Saccharomyces cerevisiae S288C: one gene and its partner. The protein of the gene in region 1 binds, or shares a complex with, the protein of each later gene. Each region holds a gene or a part of one and is shown in the gene's direction. Other genes may lie near its edges. The genes, in order: RPN11 and RPN6.

Region 1 (8,104 bases):
ATATAATAATATCGTATGGACCATCTCGCTTCTCAAACTATTACTTACAGACCCTTTTGTTAAGTGGGCTCTATGGATTGGCTATTGACTATACTTATACATTTAGTGAAATGGATGCGGTGCATTTGGCAATAGGGCTAGCAAGCTTGAAGCTATTTAAGATTGATAGCTCAACGCGCTTGACCAAAAAACCCAAAAGGGATATCAGGTTCGCAAACATACTAGCTAATTATACCAAGTCCTTTAGGTATTCAGATCCTAGAGTTGCTGTCGAATATTTGGTTTTAATAACTCTAAATGAAGGACCTACCGATGTCGAGTTATGCCATGAGGCGTTGAGGGAGCTAGTATTGGAAACTAAGGAATTTACTGTTCTTTTGGGTAAAATTGGACGCGATGGAGCTAGAATTCCGGGGGTGATCGAAGAAAGACAACCTTTATTACACGTTCGTGATGAAAAGGAGTTTTTGCATACAATTACAGAACAAGCAGCAAGAAGGGCAGACGAAGACGGCAGAATATATGATAGTATATTACTGTACCAGCTTGCTGAAGAATATGACATAGTTATTACCCTCGTCAATAGTTTATTAAGTGATACACTTAGTGCGTCAGATTTAGATCAACCATTGGTTGGACCTGATGACAATAGCGAGACGAATCCTGTCTTGTTGGCTAGGAGGATGGCGTCCATATATTTTGATAATGCTGGTATATCGAGACAGATTCATGTTAAAAACAAAGAAATTTGTATGCTGCTCTTAAATATCTCCTCTATCAGGGAGCTATATTTCAATAAACAATGGCAAGAAACACTATCCCAAATGGAGTTATTGGATTTACTTCCTTTCTCAGACGAGCTATCTGCTAGAAAGAAAGCACAAGATTTCTCTAATTTAGATGACAACATTGTGAAAAATATTCCAAATTTGTTGATTATCACTCTAAGCTGTATATCGAACATGATTCATATCTTGAACGAAAGTAAGTATCAATCGTCCACAAAAGGTCAACAAATTGATTCCTTAAAAAATGTTGCGAGACAATGTATGATTTATGCTGGTATGATTCAATACAGAATGCCAAGGGAAACGTACAGCACTTTAATTAATATAGACGTCTCTCTATGATTTTTTTAAATATTGTATATTTTTGTTTATATCTATATATCAGTATGCGCGCATACTTAGTAAAAGTATAAAAAGCCATTTGCTGCTTCATCGAATATTTTGGCTTTCGTTGTACAAAGCCTCAGTCCTTCTTTTCCTGCTGTTTTCGCCTGTATTCAGAATAATCTGGTTGGATTTCATAAGCATTGGGGCTATATGACCTTTTTTTCTCAAGTTTACGATGGCGCCTTTCCAATCTTCTTTGTCTACGTTCGTTAAAGTCAAGATCCTTCTCATTCTCAGATTCTGAAGAAGAGGATCCGGAAGAAGAGGATCCATCATCATCTGAATGATGGTTGCACTCTTCTTCATCCTCATTTTGTGGATGAAAAATGCAGCATATCTTGGTCTTTTTTTTATTCATGTTTTCATTGTCAATCACATTTTCTTCCCATCTTACATTGTGCCTTGTAGGCATTGCCTCCTGGCTTCTTGGAGGATCTTGAGTTGCTCGAAGCTGCAAAACTGCGGGAACCTCTTCCACACTCACCGTTCGGGACCCTACGGTCTGTTGTTGTTCTGATCCCATAGCCATTTGATTTCCACTCATCCTTATAGACTTAATTGAAGACTTAGCTCGCAACTCCTGGCAGTTATAAGCTCTTGGGACCCTTGACTCGAATTGTTTCTAAATGATAAATACGGCCCCTTGTTTATACTGAAACGCACGTCGCTGATGATTTCGGACCTCCAAGGTGGCAAATTCACAAGAAAAGCCTTTAAGCTAAGAAACGGTTTATGACCAGTATTAATATTGAGAAAGAAAAATAGCAGGTGATAACACAATTAAGAGGACTTAACAAGAAAGACGAGACATAATGGAACGACTACAGAGATTGATGATGAATAGTAAGGTGGGGTCCGCGGACACCGGCCGTGACGATACGAAAGAAACTGTTTATATTTCTTCGATTGCGCTTTTAAAGATGCTAAAGCATGGTAGAGCTGGTGTTCCCATGGAAGTCATGGGGTTGATGTTAGGTGAGTTTGTCGATGATTATACGGTTAACGTTGTGGACGTGTTTGCGATGCCTCAATCGGGTACCGGAGTTTCTGTTGAGGCTGTCGATGATGTTTTCCAAGCGAAGATGATGGACATGTTAAAACAAACGGGCAGAGACCAAATGGTCGTTGGCTGGTACCACTCTCATCCAGGGTTTGGCTGTTGGCTATCTTCTGTTGATGTTAATACTCAAAAATCTTTTGAACAACTAAACAGCAGAGCTGTTGCTGTCGTTGTTGACCCTATTCAATCCGTTAAGGGAAAAGTTGTCATCGATGCTTTTAGATTGATTGACACGGGCGCATTGATAAATAACTTAGAGCCTAGACAAACAACCTCCAACACAGGCTTATTGAACAAGGCCAACATTCAAGCCTTAATTCACGGTCTGAATAGGCATTACTATTCTTTAAATATTGATTATCATAAAACCGCGAAGGAAACCAAGATGTTAATGAACTTACATAAAGAACAGTGGCAATCAGGTCTTAAGATGTACGATTATGAAGAAAAAGAAGAATCAAATTTGGCTGCTACAAAGAGTATGGTTAAGATAGCCGAACAGTACTCTAAGAGAATAGAAGAGGAAAAGGAATTAACCGAAGAAGAACTTAAGACAAGATACGTTGGTAGGCAAGATCCAAAGAAGCACCTTTCCGAAACAGCAGATGAGACACTAGAGAACAATATTGTTTCTGTGCTGACGGCGGGTGTTAATTCAGTGGCAATTAAATAAACAAATTTTATAAAGTCATTATGCATTAAATAACTAGAAAGCCCACTACATATATATTATATTGTATTTTTCTAAAAATTCTAATGAAGTAGTTAATGGAATGAATGGGAAAGAGAAAACGCGTTAGGAGGGAAAAGGCTCCTTAAATAACAGTAAAAATGAAATGGCTACTGGTAGTCCCAGTGCCAATTTTTTTTTTTACTTTCTTTTCTTTCACTCTTGCTTTTCCCATACTTGTATAAACGTTTCCTTCAAAAATAAAAGCTCGGCTTCTCTCTCTGTCGTATTTATGCCATCTATTTCTATCCATTTTTCACTTTTGTTATCATACAGCTGAGTAATCCAATGGCTTTTTTCATCACCATTAAATGCGTTTCCATCTGTGGATGGTTGTTTAATGACCACATGGACCACATTTGCTTTTAAGCGATACTTGACGTGCAAAATTTCAAGTTCACTGGAAAATTCCACCAACGTTTGGTTTCTATTTTTGACAGGATGATCACTGTTACGGTCAAACCTATTGAAATGAAATATTAAAAACTGCGGTAATCGCGTTAGTTCAAAAACGGTGCTAGTAGAGGAGCTTCTTGACTTAGTAAATTTAGTCAATAATTTAGTGATATTTATTTGTGGGAGATCATCAACGCTGTTGCCATCTTCAAAGGGTGAAAACTCCGGCAAATCGAGAGTCAGAACCCAAAATGGTTTGACAATGACTTTTCCTGTAACAGACTCACTGGCCTCAGGCTTATTTTCAACTTTTGCTATCTTTACTTTGCCTTTACAAGAATGGTTTAAAATTGACTTTAAGTCGTTCGAGGACGAGCAAATTTTATTGAATAGCCACAAAAGGAAGAGACGCGGGTCTATAGGATTTAAATTTAAACCTTCTCTAACTTTCAAATAGGATACAAAATCGTCAACTGAAAGATGATGTTTGAATAGTTTAGGGGACCAAATTTTCTTTACACATATGGATAACCTTTTGATAAATTCCCCTTGATTATCAAAATGATTCAGTAGGAAGTGGTCCCGCACTGGAACCATGTGCGATATCAAAAGCAATACACTATGCGCATAGTCATAAGTTGCCGCATTGGTGAACCCTATAAATCCATTCAGATATGTGCGATTGCTCAAATCAAAACACTGTCTCGGAAAATCTTCTAGATCTTTTGGACAATAAGTCGGATAAGCTGCAAATTTTATGCTGTTCAACAATTGAACCTCACCGTCATGTAAAATTTGGACATTTTGCGGCAACATGTAAAACTTCAAACTTGTCAAATTCAAGAAGACGTGATGGTTTTCATCAATTGAATGTATGAAAGCAGGACTCTTTTCATGTCTCCCCTGATAATAATGTCCACACACGAGGCAACAATATACATTCAAAGGGGACAGAGTAATGCAGCAAATTTTCTCAGAATCGAAATCTAGTTTTTCTCTTACTACAGTCTCAAGATAGGCATAGTTTGGTTCCTGAGACTTTATCTTTTTTACTGCCTCCTGTTTTAACTCATCTTCTGAATGTCTCCTTTTGTTATCAACCTCCATTATAAACAGCGCTTTAGGTTAACGCCCACTAAATGATGAACCATGAAGAGCATGGTTAGATTGCTGCCAATTTTTTTTCCTATTTCGTCATTTTTTTATCAAGATTTTCCAGTTTTTTTTTTTTTTTTGGCATTGCTTACTATACGCGAGGGAGGTTCAATTGACACTTTCCGCTACGGCGATTCTTCAGAAACTGTGTCATCTTTTTTCCAGGTCGAGCTGTAGGAAAACCTGGGAAATATAGGTATATACCTGATCTGTTGTTGGAGTGATGTGCCTTGAACCAATCTCTCTTGTTGTTTTCGGATCCCTGGTGTTTTTCTTTGGCTTGGTGAAGTATTTCAAACGTGGAGAACGGCAAAGAACAAGAGGAATTTTACAGCCAGAGTACAAAGATAAGTATTATTACAGTAAAGAAAAAGGGGAAGAAATGGGCGAGGTAGCAAACGTAAATGAAATTCCGGTCAAGATAAGAAATCATAAGTATCCTGCGAAAGAACATAACTTGAGGGTTAAAGATTTGTTGTTAAATCGCAATCCGAAGCTATCAAAGATATCCACAGCATTTTTTATTGCTGGTGAAGAATTAGAGGGAAACAAGTATTGTGACACCAACAAAGATTTTAGACAGAATAGATATTTTTATCATTTGTCAGGTGTTGATATACCTGCTTCGGCGATATTGTTTAACTGTAGCACAGATAAGCTGACATTGTTTTTGCCAAACATCGATGAAGAAGATGTCATATGGAGCGGTATGCCTTTGAGTTTGGATGAGGCAATGAGAGTGTTTGACATTGATGAGGCCTTGTACATATCTGATCTGGGGAAAAAATTTAAAGAATTGCAAGACTTCGCTATCTTTACAACCGATTTGGACAATGTTCATGACGAGAATATTGCAAGATCACTAATTCCTTCAGACCCTAACTTCTTTTATGCTATGGATGAAACTAGAGCAATTAAGGATTGGTATGAAATTGAAAGCATCAGAAAAGCTTGTCAGATTTCAGACAAGAGCCATTTGGCCGTTATGTCCGCGTTGCCCATCGAACTGAACGAGTTACAAATACAAGCTGAATTTGAATACCATGCAACCCGTCAAGGTGGTCGTTCTTTGGGCTATGACCCCATTTGTTGTTCTGGACCGGCATGTGGCACTTTACATTACGTCAAGAATTCAGAAGATATCAAAGGTAAACATTCCATCTTAATTGATGCAGGTGCAGAATGGAGACAATATACAAGTGATATCACCAGATGTTTCCCAACTTCAGGCAAGTTTACTGCGGAACATCGTGAAGTTTACGAAACCGTTCTTGACATGCAAAACCAAGCAATGGAAAGGATTAAACCTGGTGCTAAATGGGACGATTTACATGCACTGACACACAAGGTTCTTATTAAACATTTCTTAAGTATGGGTATTTTCAAGAAAGAGTTTTCTGAGGACGAAATCTTTAAAAGAAGAGCTTCTTGCGCTTTTTATCCCCATGGACTAGGGCATATGTTGGGGCTTGATGTACACGACGTTGGTGGTAATCCAAACTATGACGACCCAGATCCAATGTTTAGATATTTAAGAATCCGCCGTCCTTTGAAAGAAAATATGGTTATCACTAATGAACCAGGTTGCTACTTTAATCAATTTTTGATCAAAGAATTTTTGGAAAAGCACCCCGAAAGATTGGAAGTTGTCGATATGAGCGTATTGAAAAGATACATGTATGTCGGTGGTGTTAGAATTGAAGATGATATCCTTGTTACCAAAGATGGTTACGAGAACTTAACTGGTATTACTTCTGACCCTGATGAAATTGAAAAAATCGTTCAAAAAGGTTTGAAGAAACCCCGTTCAGGTTTCCACGTAATCGTTTAGGTATTAACTTTTTTTTACTCGCTTCTAGAAGTTTAGTATATTCTTTTGTACACAGAATTGTATATTTTTTTTATAATCTTGGATTCACCATTTAACTAGATTTGGAAATATAAGGAATGGCACTGAAAAAATTAAGGACCAACCCCGAAGAGCAAAAAATGAATGCGAATTCTGTGGATCGAACACAGGACCTCCAGATAACTTGACCGAAGTTTTTTCTTCAGTCTGGCGCTCTCCCAACTGAGCTAAATCCGCTTCTATTTATGAAAAATTCATTGTTACAGGAACTATAGGACTATAATAACTAGCTGCTAACACCTTTAAATGTGACTTTTCTCATAAGGAAATCTAGCGATTCAGAATTCGAGAATTTTGCAGATTGCAAAGTTTTCTTTTTACCATAATATTTGAGAATGTTGTAAAACTTGAGATAATTATTCGGATGTCATTGTTGATTGAAGATAGCATTCCTATGAGTCGCCCTCGAGGACTTGGATCGAAAAATCTACATAATATTAGTAATTACTATTATTGTTGGAATTGGATAAACCGTCGTCCACCTATTTGAGAAATAGGTAATTATTATATGAGTTATTTGGTTCCTTTTTGTTAAAGTAATAATTTGAAATGCCATCCATTTGGTAATATTCATGTTATTGGCATATTATCATATGCGGTTCAGGAAGATGACATAAAAGTTGAGAAACAGTTATCAACCCTAATGGAAGCTGAAATGCAAGATTGATAATGTAATAGCATAATGAAACATATAAAACGGAATGGGGAATAATCGTAATATTATTATGTAGAACTACCGATTCCATTTTGAGGATTCCTACATCCTCGAGGAGACTTCTAGCATATTCTGTGTACATAATATTATGGTCTTGATCAACAATGCAATCCCAACAGTTATCAAATTATTCAGAAAATTGATCACATTTTCGATAAATCTATTATGAAAGTAAAATTTTGACTCATACCTAAGTTCTCGTTATTCGTTAATCTTATGAACTCATTAACCTTGGCGTTTCAGCATCCGCTATGATTACTAGTGCTTAAACCTTGTTATTCATGCCTCATAATTGATGCCATCTTCTAACCTCGAGCGTGATAAAATTTTTGTAATATGAACACCAATCGGCGGAAGATCATCCCAAAGCCACATATGATGGTGCCTTATAACATTAATAACAACTTCAACTGCTGCATACCGATAATATCTTGACGATTATGCATTCGTGTCCTGATAGCTAATGCCATGAAACAATTCTTTTCAATCGCACTTGCACCTTCGTGAAATAGAAGGGTTATCTGGGCTTATCAGACTTGTCCACAGTTTACATATAATTTTTTTTCTGTATTAAATTTTGTGAGCTTTCTTTTTACTCAAACGAACTGTGTTATTTTTCGTTCATTAAATGCGTACCTTTAAGCATCATCAAGTATTGCTCTTCGGGAAAAATGAAGTAACCTTGTTAGGTTAATTTCACTAGTACTATACATATTTTATCCTGTATCATACCAGAGGATCATTCTAGCCACAATGGTCGATACGCATAAACTAGCAGACGACGTTCTTCAGCTATTGGATAACCGTATCGAAGATAATTATAGGGTTTGTGTTATCCTAGTCGGTTCTCCAGGCTCCGGTAAGTCTACTATTGCGGAAGAACTTTGTCAAATTATAAATGAAAAATATCACACATTTTTGTCAGAGCATCCAAATGTTATTGAGGTTAATGATAGGTTGAAAC
Region 2 (5,626 bases), on another chromosome or scaffold:
TCCGATCTTCTAAAGAAATAAACTGCACATGCCATGAAAAAAACAAAGGGTCCCTCTATCAAGGTGAAACGAGACAACGTTACAAAGGAGTTTTCAATTGCAAAACATACTGCACAAATGGCAGCTACCGCAATTTTCACGCCAGAAACTCGTAACGTTAAGTATAATACCAAAACGGACACGATGCCCAAAGTAGCAGAAAAGAACCTCATCGCGACGTATGGAACGTTTGCCGTGTATTCAGTACCAATGTTCCCATAATTGAAAAGCCCTTTATAACCAAAAACAGAGGACACGGTTGCATATAGCATTGCCACTAAAGGAGGATGAACATCGGTGAAGAATATGTTGTTCACGTATTGAGAAACAAATGTACCAACTTCATTTTCACCAAAAACAACACTATTTGGCAGGGAGATATTGTGTAGCCTTACGATGGCAGTAAATATCAGCAAACAGCCAACTAGAAGCTTTTCCTTAGATGAAGTAACTGTTCGTAATGAACTCAAATTATCACAGGGTTTTGTTATGAGAAAAGACCTCAAAGGGCCGCGTTTAATAGTCACATCGGGGATGGGATCCACCTTCAGCAAATGCTCTTTATTCATCTTTAAAGCAGTTATGATCTTACACACCTGCTTAATTGTTAAATCAATAAGAATATTTTCGAAAAAGAAGAAAAGAAACGGGTCTATGCATAATATGTACTACGCTTCTGTTCCTTTTCTATTGTTCTCGAATGCCTATTCGATAGACTTTTCGCGGCACGTAAACGAGTTCTTGGAAAAAAAACGGTGCGAAATGATAATACCACTGAAACTACTTGCAGATCATACTTATTTGAGCGAAATAGAATACGTGTCTCTAAACGCAGATGGACAATATAGTCAGCTTCAAGACATTTTTTTTATTCATGATGTTTTTTTTGTCTATTTTCGTTTTTAATTATACGCTCGAGAGCTTATAGAAGACTTTACATAAAAATGTGGAGAGTACTGGGAAATTTATTCCAAAACAGCCCTTTTTTCTACTTTTAAAATGTTAGCTCCCTCCTCTTCCAACATTTTTTTGACAACTTCTGGATCTAGTTCATTACCTTCTGTGTCTTTAAAGATTTTCTTGCCATCCTCGTTCATGAGATCTTCATACGACGGACCGTCCCCTTCTATAGTGATTTCTTCAACTGTACTAGTGGCGGCAGGTTGAGATTCACGTTTAGTCAAGGTTTGGTTTTTGTACTCTTCTAATGAAGAAAAGTATGTGTTACAATTGTAGTCCCAACCAGACAACCACTGCGATTTTTGACACAATTCTTGAGTCCATGGTGTACCGTAAATAATTGGACTGAAGCTCTTGAAGAAATACACAGAAGCAGCAAGGAAAGTGATCACTACCGCGTAGCCCATTTGTCTCTTGCTGCGGAAAACATAAGAAACTATTATGTCCAAGGCGTGGCCAAGGGCAAGAATACCGAAATAATAAGCAGGTAAGTAGTGATGCAAAAACATTTGACGTTGCATTAAGAAAGATGGAGCATAATGGACGGCAAAACCCAATAAGTAGTGAATAACCTGAACGTGGAAGTTAACAACCTTGGAGTCCTTCAAAATTGGTTTACCTAACTGCCACGAGAACAGCTCAGTGATAACAATCAATCCGAAAATACCGATGAAAGCGGTGACAGCCCACCATACGATCGCATTACCTAATAGATAGACGTTTCTGTTATTTTCACCCCAGTAACTTATACCACGTAGCAAGAATGGCCATGAAGTTGGTTGTGATTCATAAACATGAGGTTCGACCAAATTTTTATTGATATGCCACATCTTTTTATGGGATTCAATAAATTTAGAAATGAAGCTTGCAGGTTTATAGGAAATACGCTTGGTATCTTCTGGTAACAATGGGTTACTGTTGTTCTCAACGTACCACAATGTTAAATCATGTCTACCGGAGGAGGCACAGGTAACTTCTTGTTGTTCGAACCCCCAAGCTGGCAACTTGACTTCGTGGGAAAACAAATAACAGCCTGTCATAGCATGTCTCAATCTAAACTTTGTGTCCAAAGCTATGACCCGTTCTTGGGCAACTCCAGGAGCAGAATTCTTTTTATCAATCTCAACAACCCAGTCATCATTAGCATCACCGTCGAATCCGCTGTAACCATAACAAGAAACCTCCTTCTGCCAGTCGCTGCTTTCTGAAACGGGTGGCTTATGGTCATGAGAGTGTAATCTACATCTTGTAACAGTGTGGAATAGTCTGACCTTGGTACCATCGGTTAGGTTTTGGAATGTTGTTAAAGATTCGCCGGGTGCGTTGTAAAGTTCCAACAACCAATCGTTATTGGCATCCATGTGAGGATATAAAGTGCTTTGTTGTTGTTCCGAACCAGCTGGATAATTGTGTGAATGAGAATGCAAATAACCGCCCATGGTAGAGAGATGACGCAAGCTGATAATGGAGCCAATGCCGACATCAGCAACGACATTTTGGGGGATCTTATTGTTCTTTAGTGTAGATCTAAATTCAGGCGAAAAGAAGCTTGCGCCATCCCCGTCCAAAGTTAATGATTGGAAGTGGATATAAAAGAAGACCAGATAAAGGGCAAAAGGCACACCCAACAAGAAGGCCAATTTGGCAAATGCTACTTTGAAGATGGACTTGGAAGACTTAGTCAAATCCCCAATCATGAACCATAGTCTCCAGATACATAAAAGACCCACCCATGTAACCGTGAAAAGACCAACCCATTTGGATGAAGATGCCATACCAAGAGCAATACCAGTAGCAAGCAAGGACTTGTAAGCATTGAGCGAGTTGGCAGGGTACATTTCGTATTTCTTGAAAGAGTAGACTGCAGCTGCAATGAAAAACATCAATGGGGCGTCCAACAGAATGTAACGAGAAATAGTGACGTACGAGTTTTCAACGGCAAAGCAGATAGCGCTCATCAAAGCAACCCACATACGAACACCAGAATAACGTAAAGTCATGTACATCAAAATAACAGTAAGAGCCCCCAAAGAAGCAGAGAAAAATCTCATCAACACGTATGGCGTCGTAGATGGAAAGCTGTCACCAATATTTTCGAAGTCAAAATCACCCTGGAACCCACCAAGCGATGCCACACCAGCATACAACATCTTTGCAAGAGGAGGATGCACATCCATGAAGTAAGTCCCCCTAATGTATTGCGAGGCAAACCCACCGAAATGTACTTCATCAAACACCACGCTGTCAGGCCATGCCAAGCCATGCAATCTAATGACCGCTGTAAAGACAGCAAGACAGGCCACTAACAGCTTCTCTTTAAGAGTGACCATGGTTCGTAACGAGGCCAATTCGGCACTCGGATCGGTAACAATAAAGGGTCTTACGGGGCCCTGCTTGATATCCAGTTCGGGCACGGGATCATCCTGCTCTACACGTTTGTACGTTTTCTCTTCCGACATGACCGTGCTTGTAGCTGTTAGCTGTTTCTTGATAGGCTCTTCTGATACTACCTCGCTTTAACAATGCACCTGTTTGTCTTGTTTTGCTGCTCGAAAATAATCAAGATCTGCTTAGAAACGCCAAACTCTTCTTCGACACGTGTCGAGAAAAAAAACGCAGCGAAAAAAAAAAAAAAGGTATATCATCACAATATACGATATAAATGGGCAGGGCAACCCCGAATGATGTATATTCTCTTCTGGTTCCAAGGGTGGCAAATGTTGGTAGAAAGCGTAATTGAAGCAAAGATCCGTTAAATAAGGCCAACTAACAGAAGCGCTGAAAGAGGACAATTGGTGATTAATCTATAAACGAGGAACTTCATGTCTCTGCCAGGTTCGAAATTAGAAGAGGCCAGGAGACTGGTTAATGAAAAACAGTATAATGAGGCAGAACAAGTCTATTTGAGCCTGCTGGATAAAGACAGCTCACAGAGCAGCGCCGCTGCCGGTGCCAGTGTGGATGACAAGCGTAGAAATGAACAGGAGACAAGCATATTGGAATTAGGACAGTTATACGTGACTATGGGTGCAAAGGACAAATTGCGCGAGTTTATTCCTCATTCTACGGAGTATATGATGCAATTTGCCAAATCCAAAACGGTAAAGGTATTGAAAACGTTGATTGAAAAATTCGAGCAAGTGCCGGACTCCTTGGACGATCAGATCTTTGTGTGCGAGAAAAGCATCGAATTTGCCAAGAGAGAAAAAAGGGTGTTTTTGAAGCATTCACTCTCGATCAAATTGGCCACCTTACATTATCAAAAGAAACAGTACAAGGACTCATTAGCATTGATTAACGATCTTTTGAGGGAGTTCAAAAAGCTGGACGACAAGCCCTCTTTGGTTGATGTACATCTATTGGAAAGTAAAGTTTACCATAAACTGAGGAATCTAGCCAAGTCCAAGGCCTCGTTGACTGCAGCAAGGACGGCCGCTAACTCCATATACTGTCCTACACAAACAGTTGCGGAGCTGGACTTGATGAGTGGTATCCTGCACTGTGAAGATAAAGACTACAAAACTGCATTTTCGTATTTCTTCGAAAGTTTTGAAAGCTACCACAATTTGACTACGCATAATTCCTACGAAAAGGCATGTCAAGTGTTGAAATACATGCTATTGTCTAAGATCATGCTGAACCTTATTGATGACGTAAAAAACATCCTAAACGCAAAATACACAAAGGAAACGTACCAGTCCCGAGGCATTGATGCCATGAAAGCTGTCGCTGAGGCTTATAACAACAGATCGCTTTTAGACTTCAACACGGCGCTAAAGCAATACGAGAAGGAACTAATGGGCGATGAACTAACAAGATCCCATTTCAATGCATTATACGACACGTTATTAGAGTCCAATTTGTGTAAGATTATTGAGCCATTTGAATGTGTGGAAATATCCCACATTTCCAAAATAATCGGTCTGGATACTCAACAAGTTGAAGGAAAGCTCTCCCAAATGATACTAGATAAGATATTCTACGGTGTTCTGGATCAAGGTAATGGTTGGCTTTACGTTTACGAAACTCCGAATCAGGATGCCACGTACGACTCTGCATTGGAATTAGTCGGGCAACTAAATAAAGTCGTCGATCAACTATTTGAAAAGGCAAGTGTCTTGTATTAGGTTTACATGTATATATATGTATGTATACTCACAAGTACCAGAGTAAGAATTCCTAAATAAACTTATAAAATGCAGAAAATACATAAGTATGATTTTTCTTTTTTTTCTCCTAAGAAAGGAAGAAGTTTAATCGAATGCGCCGCTAAATAGAAAACAGTTGATGCGAAAGTTCATCAAAACCAGAAGTTCCTACAAGCCTTAGCTGACAAAAATTCGAGAAAGCTAATGTCGAATTTTGGCAGAAGAACTTGGGATAGAGAGGAGTATGCTGAGCAGGCTAGAAGCGGCTATGACGATCGATCCTTAAAGGCTACGCTAACACCGATTGAATTACAAGCTTTAAAATCCAAATATACAAATTACGATCATTTAATCAAGGGCTCGCTAAAAGACCTAAATAAAAGGAAACTAACAGCAAATACAGAGAGCTTATCGTCTTTCAAGAGGGGAAAGAAGTTCGGATTTTACTGCGATATTTGTAACCTAACCTTCAAAGACAC

What was found.
Region 2: the proteins of RPN11 (region 1) and RPN6 are in contact, whole or in part, in a cryo-EM structure (PDB 3J47), measured with the Saccharomyces cerevisiae proteins. Residues at the interface, in NP_116659.1 of Saccharomyces cerevisiae: Tyr251 (codon at 2,738), Ile255 (codon at 2,750), Glu258 (codon at 2,759), Lys259 (codon at 2,762), Thr262 (codon at 2,771), Glu265 (codon at 2,780), Leu266 (codon at 2,783), Arg269 (codon at 2,792); in NP_010186.1 of Saccharomyces cerevisiae: Thr408 (codon at 5,043), Ser411 (codon at 5,052), Glu414 (codon at 5,061), Leu415 (codon at 5,064), Gln418 (codon at 5,073), Leu419 (codon at 5,076), Lys421 (codon at 5,082), Val422 (codon at 5,085), Val423 (codon at 5,088), Asp424 (codon at 5,091), Gln425 (codon at 5,094), Leu426 (codon at 5,097).

The regions. Positions count from the first base shown.
Region 1 is NC_001138.5:151,406-159,509, forward strand, and holds RPN11 (proteasome regulatory particle lid subunit RPN11), read left to right. Parts: upstream 1-1,987; coding exon 1,988-2,908; downstream 2,909-8,104. Other genes in the region: linker nucleoporin NIC96, read left to right, coding at 1-1,130; type 1 protein phosphatase-activating protein YPI1, read right to left, coding at 1,252-1,719; mRNA splicing protein SAD1, read right to left, coding at 3,122-4,468; YFR006W (putative Xaa-Pro dipeptidase), read left to right, coding at 4,740-6,347; YFH7 (Yfh7p), read left to right, coding at 7,894-8,104. UniProt on the Saccharomyces cerevisiae protein: Component of the lid subcomplex of the 26S proteasome, a multiprotein complex involved in the ATP-dependent degradation of ubiquitinated proteins.
Region 2 is NC_001136.10:284,891-290,516, reverse strand, and holds RPN6 (proteasome regulatory particle lid subunit RPN6), read left to right. Parts: upstream 1-3,821; coding exon 3,822-5,126; downstream 5,127-5,626. Other genes in the region: putative dolichyl-phosphate-mannose-protein mannosyltransferase PMT5, read right to left, coding at 1-608; dolichyl-phosphate-mannose-protein mannosyltransferase PMT1, read right to left, coding at 1,005-3,458; U4/U6-U5 snRNP complex subunit SNU23, read left to right, coding at 5,352-5,626. UniProt on the Saccharomyces cerevisiae protein: Component of the lid subcomplex of the 26S proteasome, a multiprotein complex involved in the ATP-dependent degradation of ubiquitinated proteins. In the complex, RPN6 is required for proteasome assembly.